Caenorhabditis elegans: one gene and its partner. The protein of the gene in region 2 purifies or fractionates together with the protein of the main gene of each other region. This does not show direct contact. Each region holds a gene or a part of one and is shown on either strand. Other genes may lie near its edges.

Region 1 (4,066 bases), on a different chromosome or scaffold from region 2:
AGAGATGCGGTGGATTTTTCATTTGTATATAAATACTGTTCGTAGTTTCATGAGACATGTCGACAACAATTCGAACAAACAAATTATAATATAGATTAAGACGAAATCCGGCATGATCCAAACCATCATCAGCGAATTCGGCTAATCGAACTCCGAAATATACCACTGCCAGTCTTTTGTCATGCTCAAATCTCGCATACGAGAGGTATTTATTGCTTCCTGCCACTTTGAATGAACTGTTTTCACGGGATGCATCTGCATTATGGTGTGACTGAAGCTTTCTTAAAAACAAAAATCTGATTAGAAATTCTGTAGAATATGTGCAACTTACACACTACAAACTGTGTTTTCTTGACTGATGAAATCTCCTCTAACAAGGAAAAGTCCTGAATTAGGGCAGTTTCCAATCGCAATCGCAGAAATATTTATATCCATGTGTTGGGGTCTAAATTATAACTTGAGTATATAAAAAGCGGATGAGTATTCTATTACGTTATTTTTGTGAAAAGCGTATGCATTTTCGGGACTTCCAAAAATACTTGATCATGGAGCATTCCAGTTATTCTAGATGTGAAACTTGATGCGAACTCGGAGAACAATTCATTTTCATCTTCTACTTCACCGTTTGGCGTCAAAACTAAATGAGCATCGATGACGTATGATTTATCTTCGTACGCAGCTCGTGGCACCATCCCCACCTTGATCCAGTTTACCTCGTCAACTTTAGACTGAAATTAAATTGTTTCAAATACGGCCAATTAAAAAATCGCTTACCAATTTCAAGTGTGTTTTCAAAACATCTTTTATATTTTCCATGTGTGCTCGGCAATATCCAAAGCAATCATTATTCATGCTGCCAATGAGCTTAGCATCGAAATTCAGCTCAATCGCCTGTTTTTTACTAAACTGTCTCGTCTTCGCAACTGTTTCCGATTCTTCTGCAGCGGCCCATAACATCCGCACGAGTTTTTCTTGTTCTTCGATATTTACACCACCTCTGTGCTTCGTTTTCTCATAAAGAATGTGAGTTGATGGGAGAGAGTGCCGTTTTAGAACAGAACAGTCGACTGGTTTTGAAGTAGAAGGCCTTTGTGACTGTAGCAGGTAATCACGAAGATATCCACGATTCACTGGATACGAAAAATTGTTTAAATGATTTCCTGGAAAAGCCGACGATGAAGAGTGAACAGGCTGTTCTTGTACGTCAACTTCCGATTTAGATTTTGAATTTCGATCCATCCGAAACGTTGTCAATAGCATCTTGTTTGAATGCCCAATTGTTAAGGTGTTCACTGGAGTGCATTCTGTTTTTCGATTTGGTAAAGTTCCAGACGAAAAATTCGATCTACCACGTGGAAATGTTGATTGACTCTGAGGAACTCCTCTGGAAAAAAACATTGTTTCATTTGACTACCGTTTGCTCACCGAATTTCAATTACCTTGGATGCTTCGGCCTAACAGAAGTTGTAGCATCATCGCTAGAGTCATCATTATCAAACGGGAGCATTTTGTGAAAGACTTTTTGAAAATGGCATTTATTTTACGAAAAAAATGAGAAACAATTTTATTCAAAAATTTGATGATGTATGTTCGCTCCATTGACAATTAGCAACGAGACTCCGCAGTTACGGCTAAAATTTAAATTTGATCAAGCATTAAATCCTTTTTATTTTGTTTTTAAGCGCCTAGGCGCGCCTTTATGTTATTTAGTTAAAGTAGCTGTAACTACTCCGTGTAAGCTGTAAAATTATAATCTAAAAATAAGACTATAATCTCAACACTTTTTCACAACAGTTCCATTGCAATTAACGTCATTATTGAATTTCTATTTTACAATTCTTGTTGCTTAACTTAAGTTCTCTACTTACTAAACAAATATACGAAGCCTTTACAGCATGAGCGCGATCTCGCCTGATACAAAAAGTTTTGCGATTCCGACATTGGCTGATGAAGGTTCCTCAAGCAAGCCAGCATCATCTTTGTGAGTTTAATAAATAACATTTCTTTTTCAAACTACAATTTTTCAGAGATTTGCCGAAACACGAGTCTATTCGTTTCAAGCCGATTAAAACACTTGCAAGTAGAATTGATGGATCGGAGTATTATGACGAGGCGAGCATGGAGAAAGTGATGTCAGTTTGAGACCAGCATATATATTAATATGTTATATTTTTAGGGAAATGCTTGAAATCGGCAGAACCGATGAAGCTGTAGCTTACGCGGATACATTATACTCTAATATAATTGATGATGAACAGCAAGATATTGTCACCATCGCTGAATACGTAAAAATTCTCGTCGTTCTCCGTCAATGGCGGCGTATTAGCCATATTATTGCTCGTGGGAACTATCATCAGATTCACATTGTTTTTGCTTATTATGCCGCTACCGCACTTTTCCAACGGAAATTATACGAAGATGTAGCTGAATTATCGGTCGGTCATCTTCTTCCAAGTAATGGCCAAATTGGACCTCTTCCTGTTCGAACACTTTCACAAGTGACGGGGAGATATGTCGAGGAAGAAAGAATGAAGTACTCATTTGCAAATATGGCCGAATTGGATAATAGCTCTAAAAAGCTCAGAATGGTTCCAGCTCTTATGATAACCATAGCAGAAAGTTTTTTGAAATTGATGAATCGTGATGCTGCAATGATTTGTATTAATTACGCGCTGAGTCTTGTAAGTCATCTTTTATACATGATTTGACCGTGTTTTATTATTTCAGGATAATACAACTCTCCATGTCGAACGATTAATGGCAAAATACAATCTGGTTGAGCCTGCGATGTGGGAGAAGTACAGAAAAGTCAGAAATGAACAGCTGAAGTTACACGAAGGAAATCATGATCCACGAATTCTTATGGAACGTGCTCAACGTGCCTACGAGATGGGTCGATTTCGAGAAACAAAAAAAATCACTGACGAGCTATTTGATCTATTTGGACCACATCCTGAGTGCATTATTCTTCGTATTCACTGCCTAACAATGTTAAAGGATTCTCGATCTCTGCTTGAATTAGGTCATCAACTAGTTAGTGATGATCCTCATATTCCACTTCCATGGTATTGTGTTGCTATGTATTATTATAGTATTGGAGCAAACTCAAGAGCTCGAAATTTCATCAGTATGTTTCCCATTTCATTGAGGTTTAAATAGAGCTTCTTTAGGTAAATGCACGATGATGGATTCGACGTTTGCTGAAGGATGGGTGGCTTTTGGTCATATTCTTCACTATGAAGTTGAACACGAACAGTCCATGAGTTGCTATTACAGAGCGTCGAAACTTGTGGATAAAAGTTCTGAACCGTTCTTGTACACTTCTCTTCAGTACAGTACGCATAGTCAGAAGCTGAGCAAGAAGTTCATGGGAGAAGCAGTTGCTCGGGCACCGAATGACCCTCTGATTCGTCACGAAGAAGCTTGTGTAGCCTATACTGCAAAAAGTTACGCGGAAGCCGATATTTTATTCAGAACTGTTTTGTATATGGTTACAGAGACCGATGAAATCATTCCAATTGAAGAAGTCTTGAAAAAGTAAGTATCTAATTCGATGATTATTTGAGAGAAAAATAACATTTTTTCAGGAAAATCGACGACTTTTGGCACCCAATGCTCAATAACATTGGCCACATAGCCAGACGGCAAGGAAGGCTGAATGAAGCAATCATGTTTTATCAAAAAGCTATCCGAATGGAGCCAAAGTTTGTAGATGCCATTGCATCAACTGCTCTCTGTTACGCAGTTCTCGGCAACATTGATAAAGCAACTGAATTCTTCAATAAAGCTCTTGCGATCGATCCATTTAATGAAACAATCCGTCAATGTCTGTCAAAAATGATTCAAGCGTCAAAAGAAAGTTATTCTGTTGATCAACAAACGGTAAATATACTATATCTTATGTTATCTAGGTTTTTTGTTTTCAGCTCCCGCCCGCATACAACTCTGAAACATACTTCGGTGCACAAGAAATTCTTCCGTACTGTGCAATAAGAAAACCACGAAATGATGGATTCGTTGTTCCGTCCATCGTATCGTCAAGCCAACCATTTATGTCGATGCTGAG
Region 2 (4,999 bases):
AGTGAATTTATGGAATAAAAGAGCTTTTTTAGAACTTTAAATGCACAAAATCGATGAAAAACACAAGAAATTAGATATTTTGACTTTCTTCACTTGCTGCACGATTTTTAGGCGATTTATTGGCGAATTTAATGATTTTTGGGCCTAAAATATCTTCAAAAATGTCTGAAATTTATGAAAAATGCGAAAAACCGGGCGAAATATAAATGAAATCAGACAGGCAGCCGTCCGACAGACACACCGCGGCGGCGAACAAACGAAAAACCTCCGACGGGGTGAGTACGGTGTGTGGCTTGGCATGATGCCAAGCGGGTTGCAGTTCGATTTCGTGTGTACCCCTTATGTGTGGCGGCGTATGATGAAGGGGGCACATACGCCCGGCGTGCAGGTCGGTACGCAAACACCGTGACGCACAGATGCACACGAAGAGAGACTCGACGGAGACACGTTGTAGTTTTTGGAGAGTGGCGGGGTTTTCGTCTCAATTTATATTTATTTTTGACGATTTTTTCGGCGGAAATGTTAATAAATATTAATTTTGTTTGAATTTTCATTGATAATTAGGCATTTTCTTCCTAAAATAGTGGAAAAATACCCCCGAAAATACCGTTTTACTTCCCACTAAACATTTAAATGCATTTTAAAGCATTTTCCTTTCAGAAAATCGAAAAACCATGGGCAAGCTCACCAAGGAAGAGGAACTTCTGCTCTCGAGCTACTCGGCGACCAGCTCCACCAAGGGAAACCTCTTCTTCTACCTCAACGCGTTGATCATCTCCATCGCCCCGCTCTACCTCTTCTACGGAGTTCACCAGATGGAGGTTAGCCGGAAATTCTATCGGCTAGGAAAACCTTGTGAAACGCATTAAATTTTCAGATCCAAGACTCGCTTGTCGTGTGGGGACTCTCTGCCGTCGGCACTGCCTACCTCCTGTCCCTGGCCTGCAAAAACCAGAAGTGCCTTCTCAAGCATCAGTGAGGGTTTTTTTGAATTTTTAAAAATCGGAAATCGATTTTTCACCCCAATAAAAACCCCCAAAATTTTCAGAATCGTGATGAAGCGCGGATCAGCTGTGGAACGCGAGATCAGCGGACAATATGCTGCTGACAAGAAAATGACTGTTAAGGAGAAGGAGGAGCGCGCGCTTTTCCGCAAAAACGAGGTCGCCGACACCGAATCCACCTACTTGTCGGTCTTCTACACAAACTCGCTCTACTTGACCATCATGCTCGTCTCGGCGTTCTTCTTGCTCGCCAACGTGGCTCCAGTCTTCAACTTGCTCATCTCCACCATCGGATCCGCCGGACTCGTCGCCTTCCTCTCCACCGCTAAGAACTAAGCGATCTTTACAAACGGGACCCCCCTTTTTTTTCTCAAAAAGTTTCATGTATTTATCATAAAAAACGAAAGTTTAATTTATTTTTCCCCACCACCCACCCGCAGATTTTTTGTATAATAAATCCCAAAAACTAAAAATGTTTATTTTTTTCTTTTTTCCCAAGAATTTCAGGTTTATAATCCAGTCCAAGCTGCTTTTTTAATATGATTCTGCTCGTCCAAGAGAACTACACAGCTGTTGGGGCAACTGCGCTCCACTGAACAATTATTTTAGCGCGATTTTCTGATTTTTAACATTAAGAACAGCATTTTTCGATAAAACGCCATATTTCATACCATTTTCAGCGATTATAATTAATATTAAACGATTAAAATCGATTTTCGCCAGCGAAAAACACCAAAAATTAAATTTTCACCTCAAGACCAGGTGCTGCAAATGCGCTCTAGTGATAATTAGTTGAAAAACACGGGATTCTGTTAAAATATATGATTGTCTAGTTACAAAATTTGTGAAAAATGAAAAAAAAATTAATTTACAAAGTTTTTCTCATTAGAGCGCGTTTGAGGCATGCGGTCGGCGAGAAACTTGAATTTTAATTGATTTTTAGTGATTTTTAAGTAACAAAGTGTTTAAAAAAAGAAGAAAAATTCAAATTTCCCATGCAAGAAATTTTCCATCAAAAAATCGGATTTTCAGATGCTCTCGGAGGAGCCCTACGAAACGTATCACCCGGAATTTCCAGATCCAGAGATTCGACGAATAGCTCTAAAAAGCTCGGCAGTCGTCGAGCTGCTCCGAATCGAATCACCATCTTCATTTTTCTGCCGTCCCGTCGATCATGTCACCGATGATCAATTATTGATTCGCGAACCGTACCGCCTAACAACTCGAATTATCGATTTTTCGGCGGGAAACATGGCGATGGCTCCGCTCCGGCCACGTGTATTCGCTCGATGTTTAATTTTGAAAAATTTGGAGCTTATCGAGGCCGCCCGGATTTTTTTCATCGATTCTGCGGTCACTGCTAATGTTTCGTGGAAATGTCTGTTTCAAATTGATGAAAATCTCAAATTTCACCCATGGCAGGCGATGCATTGCACTTTGGGACGTTTGGTGCACCTTTCGGTCTGATTTTTAGCACTTTTTAACCCAGAAATTCAAATTTCCCGCCGATCGCATGTTGTAAATGCGCTCTATAGAGCAAAAATGTGTGCATTTTTCCTGATGAAAATCCACGGATTTCTGGCTGGCTTACCTCATAAATTATTGAAATGGAAGAGTTATTGCCGAACTAGGCCATTTTGGCTCGGCCATATATGGGGTAGATTTACGGCGCGTTGCGTGTCGCGTCGCGGTTCGATTTTAGTTATAAAACTAATGCGTTTGTCCGTGTGGAGTACACGGCTTTCCCACGCGTTGTCCGGCAGGCGATTGTCAATGGAGCGCGAAAAATTCGAGGAAGAAGACCAGAACCCCGTGAGAAATTCAAATTTCCCGCCGTTGCAAATGCGCTCCATGGCAAAAATGTGCATTTTTCCTGATGAAAATCGTAAAAAATTGACTGGAAAACTATAAAATAGAGATTTCCATCTGAAAATTCAAATTTTCAAACGAAATATTGAAAGTGCGCTCCATTGAGAAAAACCGGACATTTGAATTTTTGAGAGGAAATTGGGGTTTTTGATGGTTTTTTAACCTAAAAATGCTATTTTTCAGCTAAAATTGACCTGAAAAATACGAAAAAATCCAACAATAAACGGAGATTTTTCATTGGAGCGCACTTGCAACACGCAATCTGAATTTGAATTGCCCGCCAAAAATGTTTTTAAACAATTTACAAAAAAAAAATCGATTTTTTGAAAATTATTGATTTTTCAAAAATTATCGATTTTTTCAGGACTCATGGACAGACACCCAGTGCACCGAATTTCGAAATATTGTCTCTAAATTTGCAAAATTTCAAATTACCGCCAACCAGTGTGACGTGGATTTTCGCTCGGACCGCCCGTCTCTTCTCGTGAACCTGTACGGATTGCCAAATGGAACAGAAATCGATAAAAAAGTGGCGATCGAGGAGATTTGCGCGGTTTCTATGCAAAATGTTATGGTCTCTCAATTTCCCACTAATTTTATGGGTATAATTTTTGAATTTTTGGAAAAAAAAAATTTCGCGAAAATTTCAAAAACCCGAAAAACCCGAACAAAGTTTATATAACATTCGAATTCAGCACGCCGAGAGCTTTGATTTAAGTATAATCATGACTATGGGTTACGAGTAATTGGGTCCCACCACGAAAATCCCCGGGGTTACTGTAGTTTTTCGTGGTGGGACCCGGAAAATTTTCAAAATCAATGGAATCTGGTCATGATTATACTTAAATGGAAGCATTCAAACAGCTGAATTTGAATTTCATAGTTTTGTTTTAAAAAAATGAAAAATTTCCGAAAAATTTGGGTCTCGCCACGAAACCCCGAAATTTTTGGTTTTTCCGCTATTTTTTTGGTTTAAAACATGGAATGTGTTTAAAATGTCATAAAAAACTAATTTTTCTCAAACATTATCTAAAAAAAAATCGAAATTTGGATTAGTTTTTCATAGAAAATGTCAAAAAAGGAATAAAAAATTCAAAAATTTTTGTAAAAATCAAATTCACTACATTTCTAGCTTCAATTTAAGTATAATAATGACCAATTTTGCTAGAATTTGAACAAAAAATCGGGTCCCACCGCGAAAACTACAGTACCCCTGAGGTTTTCGTGGCGGGACCCAACTTTTTTAAAGATTTAGCAAAAAAGGTCATGATTATATTCAAATTGAAGCTCTCAGTGAGACACAATCAGTCGAAATATGAATTTTCAGAAAAAAATTAATTTTGAAAAATTTTGGTTAAAAAAAAAAAAATAAAAACATTTTTTTTTTTTTTGAAAATTTTTTTCCAGTCAATCCCAAGCTCGAGGAGCTCGACAAAGAGCAAGACCACCTCGACGTGATTCTTCTCGAAGAGTTCCGCCGGGACCTCCCAGCCGACTGGGCTCACGAGCCGCCTGCCGATTACCGTGAAGACGACGCCGACTGGGATATACTGCAGTGCCACGTGGCAGAATGGAATGACACGGCACTCGAGCAATTCCGAAGAGCCGATGGAAGCTTTTGGGCGATGCTCGAGCCGAGTTGCACCGTATCACCCTGGGAAATGCACGTTACACCGATTTTGGCACCGGAAAAGATGTCTGGTACGGTGGAAATTGAACAATTTTGCTCGAAATTCTGCTTAAACTCGCGAAATAAAGCGAAAAATTGAGTAAAATGGCGAAAATTGACCCAGAAATTTGAAATTTCCCGCCGACCGCATGTTGTGCAAGCGCGCTCCAATGAGAAAAGGGATAGCGGAGCATCGTACTGAGCACAATTCGAATTTTTTCAGATAATGAACATTGGATTTTCGAGCAGCTCGTAAAAAACTCGGAAAATCAGCAAAAAATCGACGATTTCTACTCGAACCTCAAGAATCAGCGGCCGCTAGAGATGGAAGAAATGTTAGAAAATTTCGAATTTTCAGTGAAAAATGTGAAAAATATGCGGAAATCGATTAAAACCTGAAAAATTATGCTAAAAAATCGATAAGTTCGCCGAAAATTTGAACTTGGCGCTGTTTTAT

What was found.
Region 1: the proteins of eri-5 (region 2) and rrf-3 purify together in Caenorhabditis elegans (affinity purification with mass spectrometry; 2 studies listed by BioGRID). This does not show direct contact.

What each region holds. Positions count from the first base shown.
Region 1 is NC_003280.10:8,159,999-8,164,064, reverse strand, and holds the start of rrf-3 (RNA-directed RNA polymerase), read right to left. Parts: upstream 1,601-4,066; 5' UTR 1,508-1,600; coding exon 1,440-1,507; intron 1,385-1,439; coding exon 775-1,384; intron 729-774; coding exon 493-728; intron 446-492; coding exon 332-445; intron 282-331; coding exon 1-281. Other genes in the region: emb-27 (Cell division cycle protein 16 homolog), read left to right, coding at 1,896-1,981, 2,028-2,132, 2,177-2,681, 2,728-3,127, 3,171-3,537, 3,588-3,882, 3,927-4,066.
Region 2 is NC_003282.8:2,388,785-2,393,783, forward strand, and holds the start of eri-5 (Tudor domain-containing protein), read left to right. Parts: upstream 1-2,036; coding exon 2,037-2,465; intron 2,466-3,237; coding exon 3,238-3,475; intron 3,476-4,280; coding exon 4,281-4,574; intron 4,575-4,765; coding exon 4,766-4,877; intron 4,878-4,999. Other genes in the region: trap-3 (Translocon-associated protein subunit gamma), read left to right, coding at 675-821, 878-975, 1,049-1,340.